3 linked regions of the Caenorhabditis elegans genome follow. The protein of the gene in region 1 interacts with the protein of each later gene in a pairwise test. Each region holds a gene or a part of one and is shown on either strand. Other genes may lie near its edges.

The links. The genes of interacting proteins can lie anywhere in the genome.
Region 2: the proteins of magi-1 (region 1) and csc-1 interact in a two-hybrid assay, tested with the Caenorhabditis elegans proteins (2 studies listed by BioGRID).
Region 3: the proteins of magi-1 (region 1) and rpy-1 interact in a two-hybrid assay, tested with the Caenorhabditis elegans proteins (2 studies listed by BioGRID).

What each region holds. Positions count from the first base shown.
Region 1 is NC_003282.8:11,711,690-11,719,832, reverse strand, and holds the start of magi-1 (Guanylate kinase), read right to left. Parts: upstream 4,795-8,143; 5' UTR 4,744-4,794; coding exon 4,725-4,743; intron 4,678-4,724; coding exon 4,613-4,677; intron 4,437-4,612; coding exon 4,370-4,436; intron 3,850-4,369; coding exon 3,612-3,849; intron 3,567-3,611; coding exon 3,370-3,566; intron 3,309-3,369; exon of another isoform or gene 3,132-3,308; intron 2,974-3,131; coding exon 2,854-2,973; intron 2,615-2,853; exon of another isoform or gene 2,470-2,614; intron 969-2,469; exon of another isoform or gene 758-968; intron 711-757; exon of another isoform or gene 473-710; coding exon of another isoform or gene 364-472; intron 1-363.
Region 2 is NC_003280.10:13,595,419-13,600,215, reverse strand, and holds csc-1 (Chromosome segregation and cytokinesis defective protein 1), read right to left. Parts: upstream 3,262-4,797; 5' UTR 3,261-3,261; coding exon 3,194-3,260; intron 3,141-3,193; coding exon 2,852-3,140; intron 2,794-2,851; coding exon 2,698-2,793; intron 2,640-2,697; coding exon 2,342-2,639; 3' UTR 2,269-2,341; downstream 1-2,268. Other genes in the region: fbxc-23 (FTH domain-containing protein), read left to right, coding at 3,673-3,725, 3,767-4,061, 4,523-4,705, 4,755-4,797. UniProt on the Caenorhabditis elegans protein: Component of the chromosomal passenger complex (CPC), a complex that acts as a key regulator of chromosome segregation and cytokinesis during mitosis.
Region 3 is NC_003280.10:6,699,965-6,707,613, forward strand, and holds rpy-1 (43 kDa receptor-associated protein of the synapse homolog), read right to left. Parts: upstream 5,680-7,649; 5' UTR 5,580-5,679; intron 5,534-5,579; 5' UTR 5,530-5,533; coding exon 5,440-5,529; intron 5,309-5,439; coding exon 5,232-5,308; intron 5,183-5,231; coding exon 4,917-5,182; intron 4,872-4,916; coding exon 4,724-4,871; intron 4,682-4,723; coding exon 4,519-4,681; intron 4,467-4,518; coding exon 4,350-4,466; intron 4,204-4,349; coding exon 4,138-4,203; intron 3,908-4,137; coding exon 3,779-3,907; intron 3,730-3,778; coding exon 3,530-3,729; intron 3,482-3,529; coding exon 3,351-3,481; intron 3,096-3,350; coding exon 2,740-3,095; intron 2,637-2,739; coding exon 2,532-2,636; 3' UTR 2,269-2,531; downstream 1-2,268. Other genes in the region: C18H9.1 (uncharacterized protein), read left to right, coding at 1-69, 115-327, 380-518; C18H9.6 (uncharacterized protein), read right to left, coding at 737-944, 998-1,072, 1,159-1,236, 1,286-1,449.

The DNA.
Region 1 (8,143 bases):
AAGAATTTTTAAAACTTCCAATAGTCAAAATGTTTCGTTTTTGGTAAACATTGAAATTGTGGCAAGCCGGAATTTTCAAAAACAAAGTACCGAAATTGACGACAATCGGAAATTCGATCGGAAATTTTTTATAACCGCGCATCTCTCTGTTCTGGATGACACCACTATTGCAAATTTTTATACTTAAAATAATTTATAAAACAGTAATCTCGAGATTTGAATATACAAGAATTAGCAAATGAACAAAAAACCTTCGGGAATTGAATCAACCTAATTTACATATGTACAGTATCCCTTTTTCCAATATCTTACAAATCGGAAATGGCATTAATTTCATTCTATTTCTCCTCGATTAACGGTTACCTTTCATCATCATCGTTTTTTCTTTTTGCATCGAATTCGATGAGGGCACGTCCTCGGATTGTGTTCGTCGCAATTTGGCGGCTAACAATAAGCGACGGACACGCTGCATTTTGCTAGTGATGATTCCGAAACAATTCCGATTTGACAACAGTAGTTATAATAACAATAGTATAATTATAGTGTCGTTTGAAAATAGTAGCCGATTTGTTTAGTTTGTTTAATTTCCAATTCACACGTGATGGAACATAATGGAGCAAAAACCAGAAATTGTGTAGGCGGAGATGTTTTGGAAGGGAACTTTCTTTTTGCTTCAAAAACTAATTTTTGTTTTGAAACATTTCCCATTCCGGAAAAAAGACACCAGCAAGAATAGGCGGTTCCATTTTCTTTTTTGCATGGAAAAAACACAATGGTTATCCCAGAGACACAGACATTGGTCTTTCCCATAACTTCATTTCCAACAGGAAAAAACCCCACGAACCTTTCGGTCAAAAATGAGAAGTCTCCACCTACTCCTCCCCCTACTTCTTTTCACTTTTTGTCAAATGACTAGCTCGCACCTCTCACTTTTTTGGTGTTTTCTGCCAAAAAGTAAAAGTTGGTCATTGAAAATGACAAGAGACAATGTGAGTTGAAGAGACGCAGTGATGGGTGAAATCTTATCAAAACTTTCTGATTGCGGGACGCCCGTCGTTAGCCGTTTTTTTTGGTAGTGTTATTGTTGGCAACTGTTTTGAGATGAGAGAGTGAAAGAGATTGGTGATTTGAAAACTTGAAAACAGGTCTCGCATAGAAAGTTATGATAGTCATAAGTTTTCAAGACATGATTCGGAAAGTTTTATGCTTATCAGAGGTGTGTGATGAGAAATCTTGTATCGAAGAGATATGGTTCGAATTCTGAGAGCTAGTAACAATGGTTTTGGCTGAAGCCATAAGAATTGAACATAACTGTGAAACTCTGTCAATTAGACAACAAACCAAAATAAAACCAGCCAACCAATTTCAGTAAAGAACATTTTCAGTAATTTTCGAAAATAAAAAATGGTCTGGTGCCTGTATCACCAAATTTTTCGATAAACAATATATTTTAAAACTATGGCAACAAGTTTATTTTTTGGTATCAGTCGTAGCTGTAGAAGACTTTGAAAATTAATCAATTTCCTTATCAGTCACCTCCGTTGCTCTATTTTGAAATTTTGTAGCTCAGCTAGTCTTAATCTTAAGTTGATCAAATGTTTTTAAATTCAGAGAAGAAGAAGAAAGATTCGACCTAAATTTTACAAGTTGAACACTTTTGCATAAAACAAAACAAAATAAAAAACTATGGACCCCGTCTTTCTGAAAATTTGGGAAATACAGTCTGTTACGAAAATCATAGTAAACTCTCATTTACAACTAAAAGAATTTAGACCTGAATGTCAAAACGCCAGTTTTGCATCTCTATTTCAATAACAATCCTCATCATCATTATGCCCTTTCAACTTCCATTTTCGGACTTACTGTCAAAACTAGTACTGGTTCAGGGTACTTGACCGAAAAATGGCATTGTTTTGACAAGGACGCAAATAGGCAGGCAACGACACCAGTAAAGAAAAAAAACGAAAAAAAAACTTCAGGATTCAACTTTTGCTGCTAACTCCTTGTCTTCTCCGAGAATTTAGTTCAAACAGGGATTAAGCAGAGAAAGTGTAGGGCGAGAATAAGAAGGATGCGAAAAAGTAAGAAGAAGAATAGAAACGAAACAGAAAAGAATGGAAGAAGCCACTATGAGATTGAATTAACGAAATTGAATCGAATCTGTGGGGGCATCACCAAGTCTTCTCTTTCCGAAATGGAATGAAGAGGAGCCAAAAACAATAGTCAAGTTTACTGCTACTTGTCACATGGATATTGGTGGGCTCCGATGACAAGTGAGCATGATATATGCATTTTCTCAAGGCGGACATATGGATGAAAAATGATCTGGGAAGGCAGATCCGTTGAGAAAGAATTTTCAAATTTTAGGGTGCACTTTTTACACATGCAAAGAATGTAATCCACTCCAATTTTGGTGAGAGAGGTGAATGAACCATTGTGTCAGGTAAGAGAGAAAGAGAGAGGGACAACGGAAGGAGAAAGATGCAAAATGAGCGGAATGGGACTGTGTTTTGTCACGAAATAGTGTTATGAAGCAGGAGACGTAGAGGGTACAGTCCTCCATTTGAGGACATACCAAGATTGCGTAAGAGGGTAGACGAGGACTGTGAGGTAGAAAACAGGTAAGTGAGTGTGATGAGAAGGTAATAGGGGATATAAGAGATCGCAGACAAAGACAGATGGAGCTATTGAAGCGGTGGAAATAAGAAATAAGAAATTCTTAAGACAGGTGCCGAAAAAGGCTACCAGGTGGCTGGATTTTACGGAGATTCGCGAGCAAGTAAAACCGTGAAGCAGCGGTTTTCTTTTATGATAATAAGCGTAAAATAGTTGAACATGGAGAAAAGAGGTTACCTTGATATGTACCATTTTCGAGCAAGTCACCACTGTCGAGAAGCTTATTAAAATCATCTACAGACACAAATCGATAGTGTTCTCCATCAACTTCACCTTCTCGTGGAGGTCGAGTTGTGTCTGAAAATGGTCACTTTGAAATTGAAATTTGTTTTAACTTCAATACTTGTCCCTCCATAATAATCTTTTAGATCAATAACAGGAAGAGATGTTCGTTTGGAAAGAAATGCAGGTTTTAGTGAATGTTTTGGTAAAGGCGAACCGAACATTTTAACACTTCCACTGGTGGCCAGCTTCGGACCCTCCCCCACCTTGTGATGATCCCCTAGATCCTAAATCACCTAATTTAATGGGGCGGATGTCTAGGTTTCTCTAGATCACACACTATTTCATCTCAATGATACTCCCTGTGGGCAGCTGCTAGTGCCATTGAAAACAATGAGGTTTTGAGGAATGAAACTTATAAGTATTAAATCCAATCTAGTTAGTTTCAGATCAACTTTTTTTGTAACTCACAAGGAACTGTCTTCTGATATAAATTTTCTCGAATGATAGTCTGAAGTTCACCAGATGATTTTCTATCGGCCAGTAGTTCACAAATATCATCGGTAATTGCTCCAGCTGGTAGAATTTCAATCGCAATTTGATCATGTTCTCTCATCATATCTTCCAATATCCTATTCACTTCAGATCTTACCATTCCTGATACTTTTCTGAAAATTTAAATAATAAAAAAAGAAATGTTCTAGAAAACCTACATGTTCTCAATTGTTAAAAGAATATCGTTAGGATGAACAATTCCAATTAAATCATCACGTCGCACAATATCAATCAGAATGAGTCGTCCAATTGAGGCTCCGCCATGTACTGTAAACGGGGTGATGACGTCTCGAGATGAAGAGTTTCCAGAGTCCGAATGGCAAGAAGATGTCGTGGAAATATGATGATGTTCACTGGCAATACGGATCAGTCGACGAGCAGCAAGTCCGGATGGCACTAGAATATTAAAAATTATTTTCAGTCTTTTTTTGGCTATTTCCTGATTTTTGGTTTTTTTTTCAAAAATGATCTTTCTTGACTTACAATGATTTTTTTTGCTTTAGTTGTTAAATTTTTATTCGGAACCCAAACAAAAAAAAATTTTAAGACAGTCTTGATGAATATTAAAAAATTAGGTATTAACGTGTGCTCCTACTGTGTTTCTTTTGACAGTGAAAGTATTCAACTAGTAAAATTTAGGTTACATTTTTATCTTTAGAAATAATCGAAATATGAAATCTCAGAGTATAGAAATGTAGGTGTAATACTAATAGGGAGCATATTGTATTATATCTATCTATGTTTGAAAAAAAAACTCACTAAAGAATTAAAAACTTTTCAACCACACAATAACTAAAAGCTCTGTTTTATATTTCACTGTAAACTGAACTTTGAAATGCATGGAATATTCAAACTTTAAACTTCTTCGTTAAACTCAATATCTTTCTTGAAGGTCATAAATGATTGAATAACTCACGTTTGTCAGTGGAATCTAGTGAAGTGCTTGGGCTGCTCGTGCAATCGAGCATTTCTTGAAGAGTGGCCTGAAAACTTGGGATAGTGAGGGGAGGAATTCAGAAGGACGACGAACAAGTGGTTGGGAAGAGCCTTCCACTACTTCACTAATCCTTTTTTCTTGCGAATAAACAATGGGAAGTGGTTTTGAAATGAGTTTTATTTTGGGGTGGAGCCGTTAGACATGAAACAAATCAAAACAAACCTGAAGCTTTTCAATTTCCAATGTGAAATCATCCTTTTCTTCATCTCCAATTTTCAGGCAAAGTTCTGAAATTAATAATCTTGATGTTTATGGACTAAACTCTCAATCTCACCAGCTGTTTTGTCGGTCATCTTTTTAGTCGTGGGTTCATTAAGAGAATGTCGAGTTGGAATGTCTTCTCTGCAACGAAAATGAATTACTATCTTCAAAGTTCGGAATGGCCCATGAGAAAGGGGACCGCATAAATTTTGCGAAAACAAATAAATATTTATTACGAAACAACCGTTTGTGTGTCGGCGACCTCAAGAGAACCCGAAGGAGAGCAAGGGACAAGCAAAAGATGAGAAAGAGTGCAGTGTGAATATGAATAAGGCGCTGTCGAAATGACAAATTAATAATGAGTCAGAGATTGGAAATTGGAAGAAGAATAAATAAGAAGAAGTGCGCGCAGATTTTTCAGAAAGTTTAGCACTGTCAGGTGACAACAAGATATTTGCGCAAAATGTATTGAAAAGTATAGCGCAAAACGAGCAAGAAAAACCGAAAAATGAAGTCTTCGACTAAAAAAATTTCGCGCGCCCTATTTTGAACTCAATTTGAACAGAAACAAAACAAATCGTGTAATGTTTTGGAAGTTCGAAGATATTATTGATAAAAGAAAAAAATGAAAAAAGCGAAAAAAAATTGAATTGTTCCATGTAGTGTCTTAAAGAGGTATGTGGAAGACTAGCAGGGATGCAATACTGTTTATCGATCGACTAAACCGAGGGGCAACTCTAACACGCGTGCAGTGTACCCACCACCATTTGGCCTACATGAATTGCGGGAAATGTAGTGTGTTGTATATATTTTAGTGCGGTCACACCTGTTGTTTTCTACGGGTATCACTCAATAAATTTTGTTACTAAAAGAGACATGAAAAATATTTAAACTCTATTTTTTAGTAAAAACTGGTGTTTCTAATAAAAATTCAACTAAATAATATAAGTAAGTTTTCAATACATATTTATAATGAATTAGATAAAATTGAAATATACATGTTAACTTAATAATTTTAGAGTCATGATTACTGTAGCACTTTAAAACTTTCTAGTAATAAATTAGAAAATTTAGACAATATTTTGAAAAGAATAACATTACTTTAGCGAAAATACTTGCCACTTTCGAAAATTTGAAATTCGTCAAAAATCCCACTTTCGTTCGAAAAGCCGTGAGTCATTGCACCTGGGAAACTCGATTCCCTTCTTTCTTAATGTTGGAAAATTTTTGAATTTAAAAATAAAATACAACTATTAGGAGCTATAGTTTCAGGACAGTCGGAAAATTTTCAATTTGGTCCAGAAGGTTCGAGTTGACCGTCGGCAAGCCTAGAGCATTTTCTTGCGAGGCGCAAAAAAGCTGAATGTGATATTTGGAGAACAAACATACACTTTGCCGTTACGGCACGCACTTTTGCTTCTCGCCGATAATATGGTGAACGGTTTTCTCATAAAGCGTTAAATCCTCTGCGGATAGAAAAAGAAAGGGAGACAGGTCAATTTTGTAACATACTAATGGTAAACGCACCGAGACGACAGCGCTGGTCAGGCTCATATAATTCGTCAAGTTCTTCTTCTTCTTCTCCGATTTCTACACAAACTTCCGAAAGTTTTCAACATCTGCCACGCATCTGGCATGTTGTGCTGCAGCAGTCACCACAGAATCACAGTGATGACAGCGACTTTAGAAACAAAAATGAAGGACAAGAAGTAGAAGAAGGGGACGGCTGTTTGCAATTTGTACTCGAGGGAATCAGCTGGAGATTCGTAGTTACGAGAACACAACGAAAAAGACACACATTAATCCTGAGAAATGCAAAAATTTGATTGATGCTGAGAAGAGACAAAGGCGAAACAGGGAAAATCATGCTTCCAAAATATAGTTGAAGTTCTCTACAGAGAACTCCTATAGGAACCTTTATGTAGGTAGATCACATTATTTACTGAATTCTCAATATTCATGAAAACACACAAATGCCTACCTTTGTGCCTACATGATTTGCCGCGCGCTTTTGCAGATACTTTGGTCCAATGTAAAAACGTTGATCCCTTGGATGCTCTTAACTCCCTAGTTTCCTCACATTTTTAAATACCATTATTACTTTGACGACTTAGATCTCGGTTCATTGTGCAGATATCAAAAAAATATTCAACAACTAAGATTGTAGTGAAAGAAATAAATTGCATTAATTTTAATATTTTTGATAGAACAAAAGCCAACCGAAATATGAGCAGCCAAAGTTGAACAATTGTGGTGTAAATCTACTGGTAAGAATACGGTATTCGTTTTGATCCAATTTTTGAAAAGTTCCAGCAACTACAAAATGTAATTAGCTAAAATTTTAACATTGTGAATTTTGAAAATCTGACAGATTTTTTTTATTTTAGTCTTATTTTCCCTATTAGTCTTGTACACTATTATTTTCAAGGTATGAAATTTTTAAAAGTTCTTAAATAGAAAAAATCAACATATATATGTATATATTTTACCAATTGGCCACTTTTTGATAAAACAAAAATTGCCGAGAAATATCAATGTTGAGAAAAGGGGGTATAAAACTATTAGATAAAATACGGTAGTTGAAAATATTCAATGTAATAAAAATACCAACCTACTTGCCACATTTTCTACTATGCAAAACACACAGTGGCAATGCTTACAAACATTATTCTTCAGACCACAAAAAATGACTGATGGTGTGATAAGAGCTTGCCGCGCGGCAGAAAAAAATGGTCAAAATGAGTGTGATCGACCGGATTTGTTGGTCAACAGACGTCCATGTTCTGAGAGCACACAGAAATCATAGAGACCGAGGGGCGATGACAATCGTTTTTCGGCGCTTTTGGGTGAGAAGTGAACATTTTTCTTAGCGTCGTTCGTTCGTTTTCTCGGTCTCTCACACAATCGCCGCACATTCACACAACACAGACACTTACACATACAGAAAACGGTTCGGAAAGACTGAATAGATTGGGGCCAATTTCTGGAATGAAAAAGGATTGACCCTGAACTAAAGTCGAATTAGCTATGCATTCTCGTATGTGTCTAAGGGTGACAGATTGACTAAGAGAACAAAATTGATTAAAGTGCACTTTTTGGAATTGAAGGATGAAGAAGAAGCAAGAGTGAACTGTTCGAAATTCTTCAAAGGCGGAGTACCGAAATCTTAGACTTTATTTTTTAGGCCCAAAATGACTCAAAACTACCGAATTTCGTAATGAGACGTTTTGAAAAATTCTTTTTAAAAAAGTTATGGTGGTTCAAAGTTCGGGAAAAGGGCACATTTTCTTTTGCGTCTAAAAAAGCAAAGTTTCCGATTTCGGTAATCCACCTTTAAAGTGTCTGAAAATTAATTGATCGATTTTGAAAAGGGTAGCCTACTTCAATTTAAAAAGGTGCATTTTAAAATATTCAAACAATTGCCAAGAACGCTAATATTTTTTTGAAATAAAAAACACTAAAAAAGGGGAAGGACGAGAGAGCGGTGAGCTG
Region 2 (4,797 bases), on another chromosome or scaffold:
GGTGACAAGGTATTTTTGGGGACAAAGTATCCAAAGTGATATGGTATCCAGTCGACAAAGTGCCATTTGTCTCTGACCGGATCTTCGGTGACAAACTTTTTCAACTAGTTTTTTATATATATTTCTCGATCGATTTTTGTTTTTTTTTCACTGGAATAAGTTTTTAAATGCAATTTTCCATGGATTTCCGGCCTTGACTACTCACAATTGAATGTATGAACAATGATCTTTTGGGAAAATGCTGTAAAACGTCCAACTAACTTGGAATATCGTAAGATTCTTCCTTATAATCTGATCCTCAAGCTCCGAAGGATCACAGGGGGTACCTCCTGGTGATCTGATCCTTCAGCTTCAAAGGATCATAAGGGTACCTCCTGGTGATCTGATCCTTCAGCTCCGAAGGATCAGAAGGGTACCTCCTGGTGATCTGATCATTCAGCTCCGAAGGATAAGAAGAGTACCTCCTGGTAATCTGATCATTCAGCTCCGAAGGATAAGAAGGGTACCTCCTGGTGATCTGATCCTTCAGCTTCAAAGGATAAGAAGGGTACCTCCTGGTGATCTGATCATTCAGCTCCGAAGGATAAGAAGGGTACCTCCTGGTGATCTGATCATTCAGCTCCGAAGGATAAGAAGAGTACCTCCTGGTAATCTGATCATTCAGCTCCGAAGGATAAGAAGGGTACCTCCTGGTGATCTGATCCTTCAGCTTCAAAGGATAAGAAGGGTACCTCCTGGTGATCTGATCATTCAGCTCCGAAGGATAAGAAGAGTACCTCCTGGTAATCTGATCATTCAGCTCCGAAGGATAAGAAGGGTACCTCCTGGTGATCTGATCCTTCAGCTCCGAAGGATAAGAAGGGTACCTCCTGGTGATCTGATCCTTCAGCTTCAAAGGATAAGAAGGGTACCTCCTGGTGATCTGATCATTCAGCTCCGAAGGATAAGAAGAGTACCTCCTGGTAATCTGATCATTCAGCTCCGAAGGATAAGAAGGGTACCTCCTGGTGATCTGATCCTTCAGCTCCGAAGGATAAGAAGAGTACCTCCTGGTAATCTGATCATTCAGCTCCGAAGGATAAGAAGGGTACCTCCTGGTGATCTGATCCTTCAGCTCCGAAGGATCAGAAGGGTACCTCCTGGTGATCTGATCATTCAGCTCCGAAGGATAAGAAGAGTACCTCCTGGTAATCTGATCATTCAGCTCCGAAGGATAAGAAGGGTACCTCCTGGTGATCTGATCCTTCAGCTTCAAAGGATAAGAAGGGTACCTCCTGGTGATCTGATCATTCAGCTCCGAAGGATAAGAAGAGTACCTCCTGGTAATCTGATCATTCAGCTCCGAAGGATAAGAAGGGTACCTCCTGGTGATCTGATCCTTCAGCTCCGAAGGATCAGAAGGGTACCTCCTGGTGATCTGATCATTCAGCTCCGAAGGATAAGAAGAGTACCTCCTGGTAATCTGATCATTCAGCTCCGAAGGATAAGAAGGGTACCTCCTGGTGATCTGATCCTTCAGCTTCAAAGGATCATAAGCCGCACTTCACGCGGTTTTATTTATCTCAAACAAAAATTTTTTGGTAAAAAACTTTCAACTACAAACTTGTTCTTTACAACAATATCAACAACTTATCAGTTGATGACTTTTCTGTAAAAACTTTATCTACGGAAATATTTAATTCCGGCAATTTGCCGATTTGCCGGAAATAATCATTTACGGCAATTTGCCGATTTGCTGGAAATTTCAATTCCGGCAATTTGCCGATTTGCCGGAAATACTCAATTCCGGCAATTTGCCGAATTACCGGAAATACTCAATTCCGGCAATTTGCCGATGTTCCGGAAACATTTAATACCGGCAATTTGCCGATGTTCCGGAAACATTTAATTCCGGCAAATTACAGATTTGCCGCAAATATTCAATTCCGGCAAATTACAGATTTGCCGCAAATATTCAATTCCGGCAAATTACAGATTTGCCGGAAATCTTCAATTCCGACAGTTTGGCGTCCACCGCTGATGTAAAACACAAAAAGAATTAGCGTAAGTTGAACAAAATCGCGGATTCTTGTCAAAAACTGTTTAAATAACTAGTTCACAGTTGTCCAAGAGTAGTACAAGAAGGCTGGAAGTTTTCTTTCCGATTTTCTCTGAAAAAAAACTAATTTTTTTTCGATTTTTTGCAGTCAAATTTTTTGCAGTCTATTTAGAGAATCAAACGATCGTTGAGATCAAAAAATTTGCATATAAAAGGTAAAAGACGGGAAAAATTGAAATATCAAGTATTTACAGATCATTATAAAAATTAAAGCGGGGGAAAAATTAAATCGGGGGATTTTTCCTATACAGACGTCCCGGCATTTTCAGTTTCCGGCTGGAGAGGCCCGGCTGCTGCCGCTGCCTTCTTGCTCGCCGCACCAGATTTCTTCGACTTCTTCCGATTCTCCTTGCCAGCAGCAGTAGCAGTAGTTCTTCCAGCCAAGACCAGTGGCGATCCGTTCACCGAGAAGGCGATTTCCTCGTCAACGTGTGGAGCACGGAATGGCTTTTCCGGTTGAAGTGTTGGCAGTGGGAGCACTTGTCCAGCTGGCGTTATGATCTCGTTGCGGCGGTGCTCGTCGGCCGCCGTGTTCCTGCCGCTGAAAAAAAATTAATTTATTTATTGAGAAATCGATTTTTTTTTTGTTGAAAACTTACGAGTTCTGGCCAGATGGAGCAATCGGAATGCTCGTCTCATGCGCCGCATCGTCGTCGATTTCAGGCTCCTGCTTGACCTGCACCGTGTTCCGGCCGCTGGAAAATTTATTGATAAAAGTAAATGGCGGAAATTTGGATTTTTTTGAAAACTTACGAGTTCTGGCCAATCGGAATGCTCGTCTTTTGCGCCGCCGCCGCGTCGTCGATTTCCATGTCAGGCTCGGAAGGAAGCTCCTGCTTAACCGCCACCGCCGCTTCTCCTTCCTCCTCCTCCTCGCCGGATTCAATGTAGAAATCATCCGGTGGCGATGCCAGAAACTCCATGATCGGCATATCCCTGTATTTTGGCTTGATTGTGGCGATGATCCGGTCGGATTCAGCCTTTGCTGTCTGAAGGGCGACCTCCCGCAGCTTCTTCTTATACTCCTCGAGTAAGTCCTTGACTGGAAAATAAATTATTTAAATATAATAAATTACTGGAGATCTTCAAGCTTACCACGCGTCTCGAGAGTATCCGCCATCGCAACCACAGCCGGGTCCTTCTTGATCTTGCGTGGTGGCATTCTGAAGAAAATAATGAGAAATAATCGGAGAAAATCGAATTTTTGAGGGAAATTAACGTGAAAATTAACTTTTTTAAGGTAAAAATCACAAAAGAAATCGAAAAATGCGTGGAAAATGAGAAAAATGGCGGAAAAAATTATAAAATTAATCGAAAAATTTTCGCGCTCGCATTCGGTGTTTGCGGACTGCGTACCGTACCCCACGCGCAAAAGAAGGAAACAGGTCTGGAATAAAGATTTATAAAGACAAACTTATGAAAACATGATTTGAAATATATTTTTTACCGTTTTTCCATTTGCATACACTTGATACCAACTAGAACAATTAATTTTCACTGAAGAAAATTTCGTAGCAAGAAATTTCGCAATTTTGCCTTTTTTGCTGCAATTATTGATAATATTTCAGCTTAAAATGTATTCTGAAAGCGTCCCATGCATATTCAAATATTTATCATTTGACAAGAAGTGGGTTTTATTTTAGAATCCATTTGAAAACACGATTACAGAAGCCATCTTGCAAATTTCAACTCGATATTTCGCAAGCTTGAAAAAAAGCTTCCCTATCACTTTAATTGTATAAAAATCGATACAACAAGGGAGGACTGGCACTTTTCGATTGATAAAAAATATAATTTCAATATTCAAACTGCTCAGCTTGGCGCCAACGTTTTATTCGGTGGAGTTCAACAATTCGGAATTTTAATTGCAAGTCCTGAAGATTCACAGACTGAAACCTTTCGGAAATTGGTGGATTTCTATTTAAATCGACCAGGAACAAGTATTCATACACTGCAAATTCTGGTAATTCTTACGCGATTATGTGTGCGCCTTTAAAGAGTACTGTAATTACAAATTTTTGTGTTATCTAGTTTTTTCTATAATTTGTTGGAAATTTGGGGTTTTTAATTATTTTCTTCTAGTTTTCACAGATTTCTGGCTTCCCTCATAAATTGAAATGGAAGAGTTTAGGCCGAACTAGTCCATTTTGGCTCGGCCATATCTGGGGTAGATTTAAGGTGCGTTGCGTGTCGCGTCGCGGCTCGGTTTTAGTTGTAAAACGAAATGTACGTGTCCGTGTGGAGTACACGACTTTCCCACGCGTTGTCCAGCGGGAGATTATCAATGGAGCGCGAAAAATTCAATGAGCAAGGCCAGGATCCCGCGTGAGCAACGAAAGTTTTCAATTACAGTGCTCTTTAAAGGCGCACACCTTTTATCAATTAACGAAATTTTGTCGTGACGAGACCGTCGTGCGTTTGCAGAATCATCCATATGGTCTCGAGGCGTGCTGCCAATTGAATATTCGACACATTTTTGTAAGAATGCGGATTGAATCCCTGAGATATGACTACACGACCTGGTTTGATTGCCTCCGAGCTCGCCCGTTCGAGACGGCGGAGGTGGATTTTGTTGGAATGGATTACTTGATTCTGGCGGAGCCTGTGGTAGAGTCTGAAATTTGAAAATTCACAGAAATTTGTTGTTTCCTTCCAGATATATTCAGCCAAGAAGCTGTGTATAAAATCATCACGTGCAA
Region 3 (7,649 bases), on another chromosome or scaffold:
CCCGAAAAAACCGAAAGCAATAGGAAAAGTTGGAAGTACCGGTGGAAATAGAAATGGAATGGGTGCCATGTTAGTTTTTCAGATAAGAATTAAAATTTATTGATTATATTGCAGACATCCAACTCTGATCAGTTATCCAGAAGAGCAAAGAAAGACAAATAGTCGGGTTAAAAATAATAGGAGTAACTATCATATTGGAAATATTGGGAACATTGGTGGAAACATTGGAAATGGTCAAAAAATGAACAGGAATAAAAATGGAGGAAGAAATCAAGGAGGAAATCATCCGGATAATATGGGAATTCCAATGTTCCCCATTGCTAGACCGTAACCTTTTTCATTTAAAATTCTGCCAATGTTGCCTAAATTTATATTTCAGAACACCGTATGATCTTGCCGAATACATTGAACGAGGTTTGAACACTGGAAGATCCAATCACAGAACTCCACAAAATTTCCGAAGATATCCAGAACATGAATGTGACTATTATGCGGGACCGTGTGCCACATCATTCTAATTTTATTAATTTTTTGATAGCTGTATATTTTTCACATTTTCCTAATACGTGTAACTCAACGAGGGTGTCTCCGATTCCGCCTTTTCAACGACGTTTATGTTTCAATTTAAATAAACGTTAAATTCATAAAAAGTATTTTGTACCTCGCAAACACATATGAATATTTAAACCAAAATTGGAATAAAACATTATTTATTTTAGTTATTTCAGAATTATGCTTACAAATGACAAATAATTCTTGAAATCTGTTCAGCAACCCATTTTCCGTTAGAATCAGTTGCAGTGAAATACCAATCTGGGCTCTCAGCCAAAACTTCCAGGTAATTTGGATTTGGTCCAATCGAGACCACGATCGAACGGAAATTGTATTTTTGTTGAAGTTGATGCATATAACTGGATGCACTTCCATCAAATGCAGCTATATCACTAAAAAGGTAAAACTTTGGAATATGTAAATAGTTGTTATAATTGTAACTCACTCAACGCCGACGGTGACCAGGATATTAGTGGATGAAGTTCCTGGATCGCGTTCCTCAAGAATATATTCATATGCTCTGAAAATTTTGATAATGAAGAAGTCTACATTTCAAGCTTCTAAATTGCAAAAACCGGCTGTTAAACATAAAAATAAATTGAGTACCTCTCAATCTTTGGGTCAGTCAGAACCATAACTTCACTGTATAATTGATCAATATTTATGTCCAAAAGTTCAGTGCTCCTGAAATTAAAAAAAATAATTAGGACCAAAATTCAAGATAAGAACTCACGTAGCATCTGGATAATGAAGTATGTAATTTTCATAGACACCTGAATCTGGATATGGTACATTAATAGCTTGAGTGCTCCCATCTTCAAAATTGTAGTTTGTAGAATTGTAAAGATATTTCTGAATGAAATTAAGAACTCCCTGTGTTTGTGGAAGCTTTGTCATTTCGTAAGCCAACGCGATTTTTCCATTGAATTTTTTGGTGCATGGTGGGAAGTTCACTTAAAAATTGATTGATTAAATATCTGGAAATATAGTGGAAATCTGAAAATTCAAAATTTCGCGCTATTTTGGCAAGCTGGCTTGGGTGGTTTTGGAATATGTATGAAGTAATAGGTTTGTGTAGCCAGGAAATAATGGTTATCAGTTGAATGGTCTCAGTGCATTCATGCGTTGGGTTTTATAGTTTTCAAGTCAGGAAATGATTTTTTTGATTAGAGACGGAAGTTGAGAGACTGTCGGACAAAGTTTAAAATTTTAAGAGGTAAAATGATGACATTATTCTGAAAGGCGTCTGTAGTGTTTAAAGAAATTATGATGACTACAATAATCATAATCACTTAAAAAACTATAAGATTTTTTGGAAACTTATCACTTTACAGTTCTTTGAAATATAGATAACATTTTGATTTAGATCATACAAAGATTGCTGCCCAACTTTTAATTATTACAGTTTACAGAGGTCATCTTTAAAATTTTTATGCTAGTTAAGTTTTGAATTCAAATATTGGAAGATGGAGTTAAAAAATACAGCGGTTATCTATGTTTAAGTTCTCCTAAGCCCGTACACAGTTTTCAATTCAAAATTGCTTTCACCGTTTAAAAATTCCCCCGATTTTGAATTTTTTTCTGTTAAATGTTGAAGTTTTAGAGAATAAAATCATGTGGGTTCATCTATTTTCAGAATTTTTCTCAATGAGATGGACAACTATCACACAAAGTTTCAGCTTGTGGGTGTTATCATGCACAAGATTTCATCATATTCAAAAATTGAAACAAATTTTTATGGAAAGAATTAAAACTTTGAAACATATGAATTGAGATCAAAAATAAAAATAAGAATAACTTCTAAAAGATTAATTGAAAAAAAAGATTGAAAAGTGAACATGAGCAGGAAAGAAACTGGTGGGTGACAATGTAGAAGACTAGAAATTCAAAATTTTGAAGATTCCTATTTAAAAAAAAACGATAAATGATATCACAAAACAAGGGATTTCGAGGGGATGATTGCAGTTTGTATTGAGGCTTCAAACATCTGTTACTGTAGGCGTGTGAGTTATCACAAGAGGACCATCTTCTGCTAGTGGCATTGCTGGAGGAAGAGCTACTATTGATGATGGAGGTAGGGCTGCCTGAAAACATTCAAATTTAGGTGATTTCTCAAAATACAATTTAAGGTCATATGAAAAAATTTAAAGTTCAGAAAGATCATTTAAACTCCTTCAATAATATTACCTGTGAGCAACAAGGTTTCCGTGGAGGTGGTGGTGGTTTATGATTTGCATTCGAATGCGTGTGTGACTGCGATGTCGTCGATGCAGTAAGAATCGGTTCGGAAGCACAAGAAGCCGTTGTTGAAGGTACTTCAGGTGACGGAACTGCAACTGCTGAACATGCATTCGCCGCTGCAGATTGTTGTGATTTTAGCCTAGCAAGACTTCGATCAACTCGATCAATATCTTTCTCGGCGCCACGAAGAATCTTGTCCTGTTGTGAACGTCGTGTTAATGTGGCTTGTGGTGTGATATCTCCAAGTTCGGCAGCTGCTGAGACAAGTGGAGTGGCAACACCTCCCGGTGGGGCGAAAGACGCTGAAATTAAAGTTTATTGATTACGCGCTGACATTCAAAAAATATTTTTTCAATAATGATAAAAAATAAACCTTTAAAAATACTATTAGAATAGTTTTCAGAAGAAAAAGTTCGCTTTGAACTAAAACTTGGACAACTTCTTTACCATGTTTTTTGCTGAATACTCTACAAAAGTTGACTTCAAATTTCGGCTTCATAGTTTAATATTTTTTCGAATAAATTTTCAAGTATAAATGTTTATAATAAAAATCTTACTGCTAGGACTCTGAACATCAATTGTTGAAGCAATAGAACTTCGTATCGAGATATTGTCCGATAAAACAGCTCTGCATCTACATTTCGGGCAGGTTTGATCTGTTCTTTGTAGGAGATACGTGTGTAAGCATCTGAAACATTACAACTTTATTTTTAGAATCTCTGAAACTCATTCATACTTTTCATGGAAAATATGCGAACACCTAAGAGCTTGAAGACTCTCATCCTTCAATCCATATCTTTGACCGCAGAAGTTACAAAACAATTGCATTTCTTGTGTTAACCGAGACGCAGCTCTTCGAGCAGTTTCCTCAGAATCGTCATCATTCAGTTGAGAATATAGTTCGGCTAGTCGGAGATGGCACTTTAAGACAACGTGCTGAAACAAAATTTTGAAGTTTTGTGGAATCATCCTATCGATTTTGTACCTTGCACCCTATCTGATTTGCAATTTCAATACACTTTTTATTCAATTGAATAGCTTGACATTCACATTGTCCAGTGTAATGAGATCGACTTTCAGATGCACTTTTTGCCATTGACGAGAGCACTAATACCTGAAAAACACTCAGAACTTATTAAAATTATTTTCTCACAATTCCCCAGAAATATACTCATGTTGTCTGATCTCTATGTGAGATTGTGTCAACCACAAAGCTTCAAGATTTATGGGAAAGTCGTAAAAGTTATTTAATGGGAAAAGAAATTGAGACCTGGATGTGAGCTTTTGGTTTTATGAGGTATTTGGTTGTACCAATAAATAATTGAAGGTTTTTTGGCCACTTACTTCGCCCATTTTATCATTTGCTCCGCGCATTACACGATAAGCATCTTCGTATCTTGCCCAGGATTTCTGTAAGAAAGAGTTTATTATCTAACAATAGAAAAAAAAAACTCATTGATTTCTAATACAAGTTTTAATGAAAGTTAGTTGTTATTATTAACTTTTCAAGCATAACGTTTTTTTACTGAAATAACTGAGAATTTAAAATTACTCACAGTGATAGTCTCTTTGGCTTCACTCTCTCCCAATTCTCTATAAATATCTGCTAAACTGCACATACATCTTGCATGGATCGCTCGATTACCCATCTCAACAGCTAGCTGGGAAGCTTCCTGGAATCATTCAATACTTTTTGAAGTTCTTAAACTTTAAATAAAAACTTACATCGCATGCTTCCTTGGCATCAACCAGACTTCCTTTCATCCTTAGAGCAACTGATAAATGATAAAGTATCAAACAACGATACTTTGCATGAACATCATCAACAGTAACAGATTGAACAATTGCGAGAGCATTTCGAAGAAATATCAGAGCTTTAGTGATATCTCTGAAAATAAAAATGTGTTATTTTTCATTTCTGTACGGTTACCTCAAAAGAGTAAAAAGAGATCCTAGACCAACACAAATTTGCAATTCGAGTAACCTATCCGATGTCTCATTGGCAACATTCATTGCTGACTCGAAACTTTCCAGACACTGTTGGAACTGGGACATTCCTAAGTGTGCAAGTGCTATTGCTGAAATAGCCACAGTTTTGTCTAGAACCTATTGAAAATTCTTACTTAAATGTGCATAACCAGGCGTCCTGGGATCCATCGAAGGATGTTCTAACGATGCTTTGCCATACTGGAGGGCTTTCGTGAAATCTGCTAATCGTTCATAGGCTTTTGCTAGATTCAAAAATGCCTCGCATTTCATTGCTGAATCGTTTTGATCGGTTGCCAACTGCATTTGTGATAGAGCATATGAAAGCATTCCTTCGTATTCTCCCTGGTCGCAAAGAGCTTGAGCAAGGTATCCGAGAGTGATAAACCGGTCTTCTGCATTGCTGAAAATGGACGTTATAGAAAAGAAGAGGAGTCGTCTGAAAGACTTACTTTAACCTGTTCAGAGACTGTCTCCATTTATTGATAGCCTGTGCGTAATGTCGTTGATGATAAAGTTTGACGCCAGCCTGCAGAAATAAATGTTTAAAATTGGGGAATGCCAAACAGGAATGATAAAACATTTTAAAAAACATCACAGAAGTTCGCATAAATTTTAGTTTCCGAAAAAAAAATTCCCCATATCAAAACTATTACCAACCTGCATGTGTTGCTTTGCTTGCCGCTGTCCCATTGATCGTCGATGATTCGTGATGAGATTGATGTTGTCGCGACACACAAAAACACCCATTGACCTGAATAATATTCAATAATTCAAACTTCATGCTCAATATATCTTACCTACAGACCGGCGGCAAGTAATCATGTAGTTTTTAGTGATGGCTCTTCTTTTTTCTACGTGTGTGTGAAATACGAATAAAAATTATCAATCCTATCTCATCTGAAAATTAGGAAAATTTTTATTGAAGTTTTTATTTTATAAATCTTTCGATGCAGAAAGAGAAAAATGTGCATGGTGAAAAATAAAAGAAAGAAAAGAAGAGGACAATTGATGAATAATTGTTTTAGAATCCATTTCTGAGTCTGCATGCAATAATGATGGAGTACCAGAGGATCAATTATGAAGGGATTACTGTAGATTTTATATGCTTTAGCTATTTCAGGCTCTTGCACAAAAAGTTCCACCCCACAAAAAACAATTAGCTCAAGCACATTTTGTTTGTGTTGACATTTTCATGAGACGAGAATTCTTGGATGACTTTTGATTGATATTCGAGATGAAGATGAGATAGTATGAATAGACATGGAGATTTAGAGATATAGGTGAGAAAGTGATCCATCAATTTGAGGTCATGAGACGATTGAGGAAAAATTGGTGGGGAGCAAATGAACGAAAAATGATGGGATTGGAAACGGAAAATGAGGCGAAAAAAGAGAGGGAAATTTGTGGAAGATAATGGGAAACAGATAAGAAATGAAAATGCCAATTGGATAGAATAAAAATCAATTTGAGAGAAAAACATCAGAGCAAGCGCAAAAGTGCAAACTGCACAAAATAAACTATCTGCCTACACGCATGTTTACTGGCATGACATAGAAGAAACTTTCAACAAAAAGTTAAAATGGGAGAAATGTATATCATATACAAGAGTTCCCAGCGACACTGAAAAATTGCTGTAGGCAAGAAAAATGGCAGGTAGGAAATATGGGAATAGTCCTAGAATGAACTATATTTATTAGAAAACTAACTAAACATATACTTCAACTAGAAGTCAAGTTTTGGAGTTCGAAAAAAACCTGTGTTTGTGCAATATACTTTTAGAACGAAAGGAAGTCCGAACTCAAGATAAATTCAAACTTTTAAACTTTTTTCACCGTTTACAACTCCGCCCAAAATGTTTTTTCGGTACTAGTCCCTATTTGAAATCACTCTGTCAAATTGAAATTTTCGGGAAAAAAGAAGAGTAGTACTCTCTAATGTGACCCGCCGGCTCAGGCGAGCTTCTCAGGGGAACTGAATCCAATTTGGAATGAAAAGAAATTTGGGACAAAAGAAGTGAATACGGGGAAAAAGAAAGTAGATCTAGAAGAAGAGGAGGTCTAGTACTTTGATGCACATCTTAAGGAATCCGTATTCCAAATGTTTTTTTTCTTGAGTTGCCCCAAGCTCTCCGAGTTTGGAAAAGGATGGGAAACGGAAAATCGAACTCCCATGGGAAATTGAACAGAAATTGACATTTTTGTGAAGAGATGGGTAAAGAGTTGGGACACATTGAATTGTGTGGAAGAAAACGATGAGAAGAACCGATTAGATTAGAAATATTTTTAAGGATGAAGATGAAAAAGGATTATTTAGAAAAAATAAATCAGGAAAATTTCAGTTTCGACAATAAAATGTTAAGGGAATAAAGTTCCACCTCTGGATGCCCCACTTGAAGTATTTTAAATAAACAATATTTTTAGAAATCCAAATATATTTTCAAAATAAGTCTTGATGTTTTCAGCACTACATTTTCATATCGACGTAATTTTAAAAATGAAAAAAAAAATTTCGATCAACAAGAACAGTGAGCCATGGTTTATTGTAAGTTGGAAAAAAATATGTTTCACTAACATGATTAATTTACAAAAAAATAACTCTACATTTGAACTTCAATTATAAATTGAATGTCGTGAAATAGAAAAAAAACTATTTGAAATTGAGAGTTATTAATAATTTTCTAAAAAAAAACACAATTTTGAAATAGCTTTTTTTCCTAATTGCAAAACTTTTGGTAATGCATCAAGTCATTCATCTTGTCCATAACTACAAAATTATACACACTGAAAACTGCAAAACTAAAGAAAAATCTTTACGGCCCTCACCACACATTCACAGAAGCGAAAGAAGAGAAAAAAGAAGAACAATAA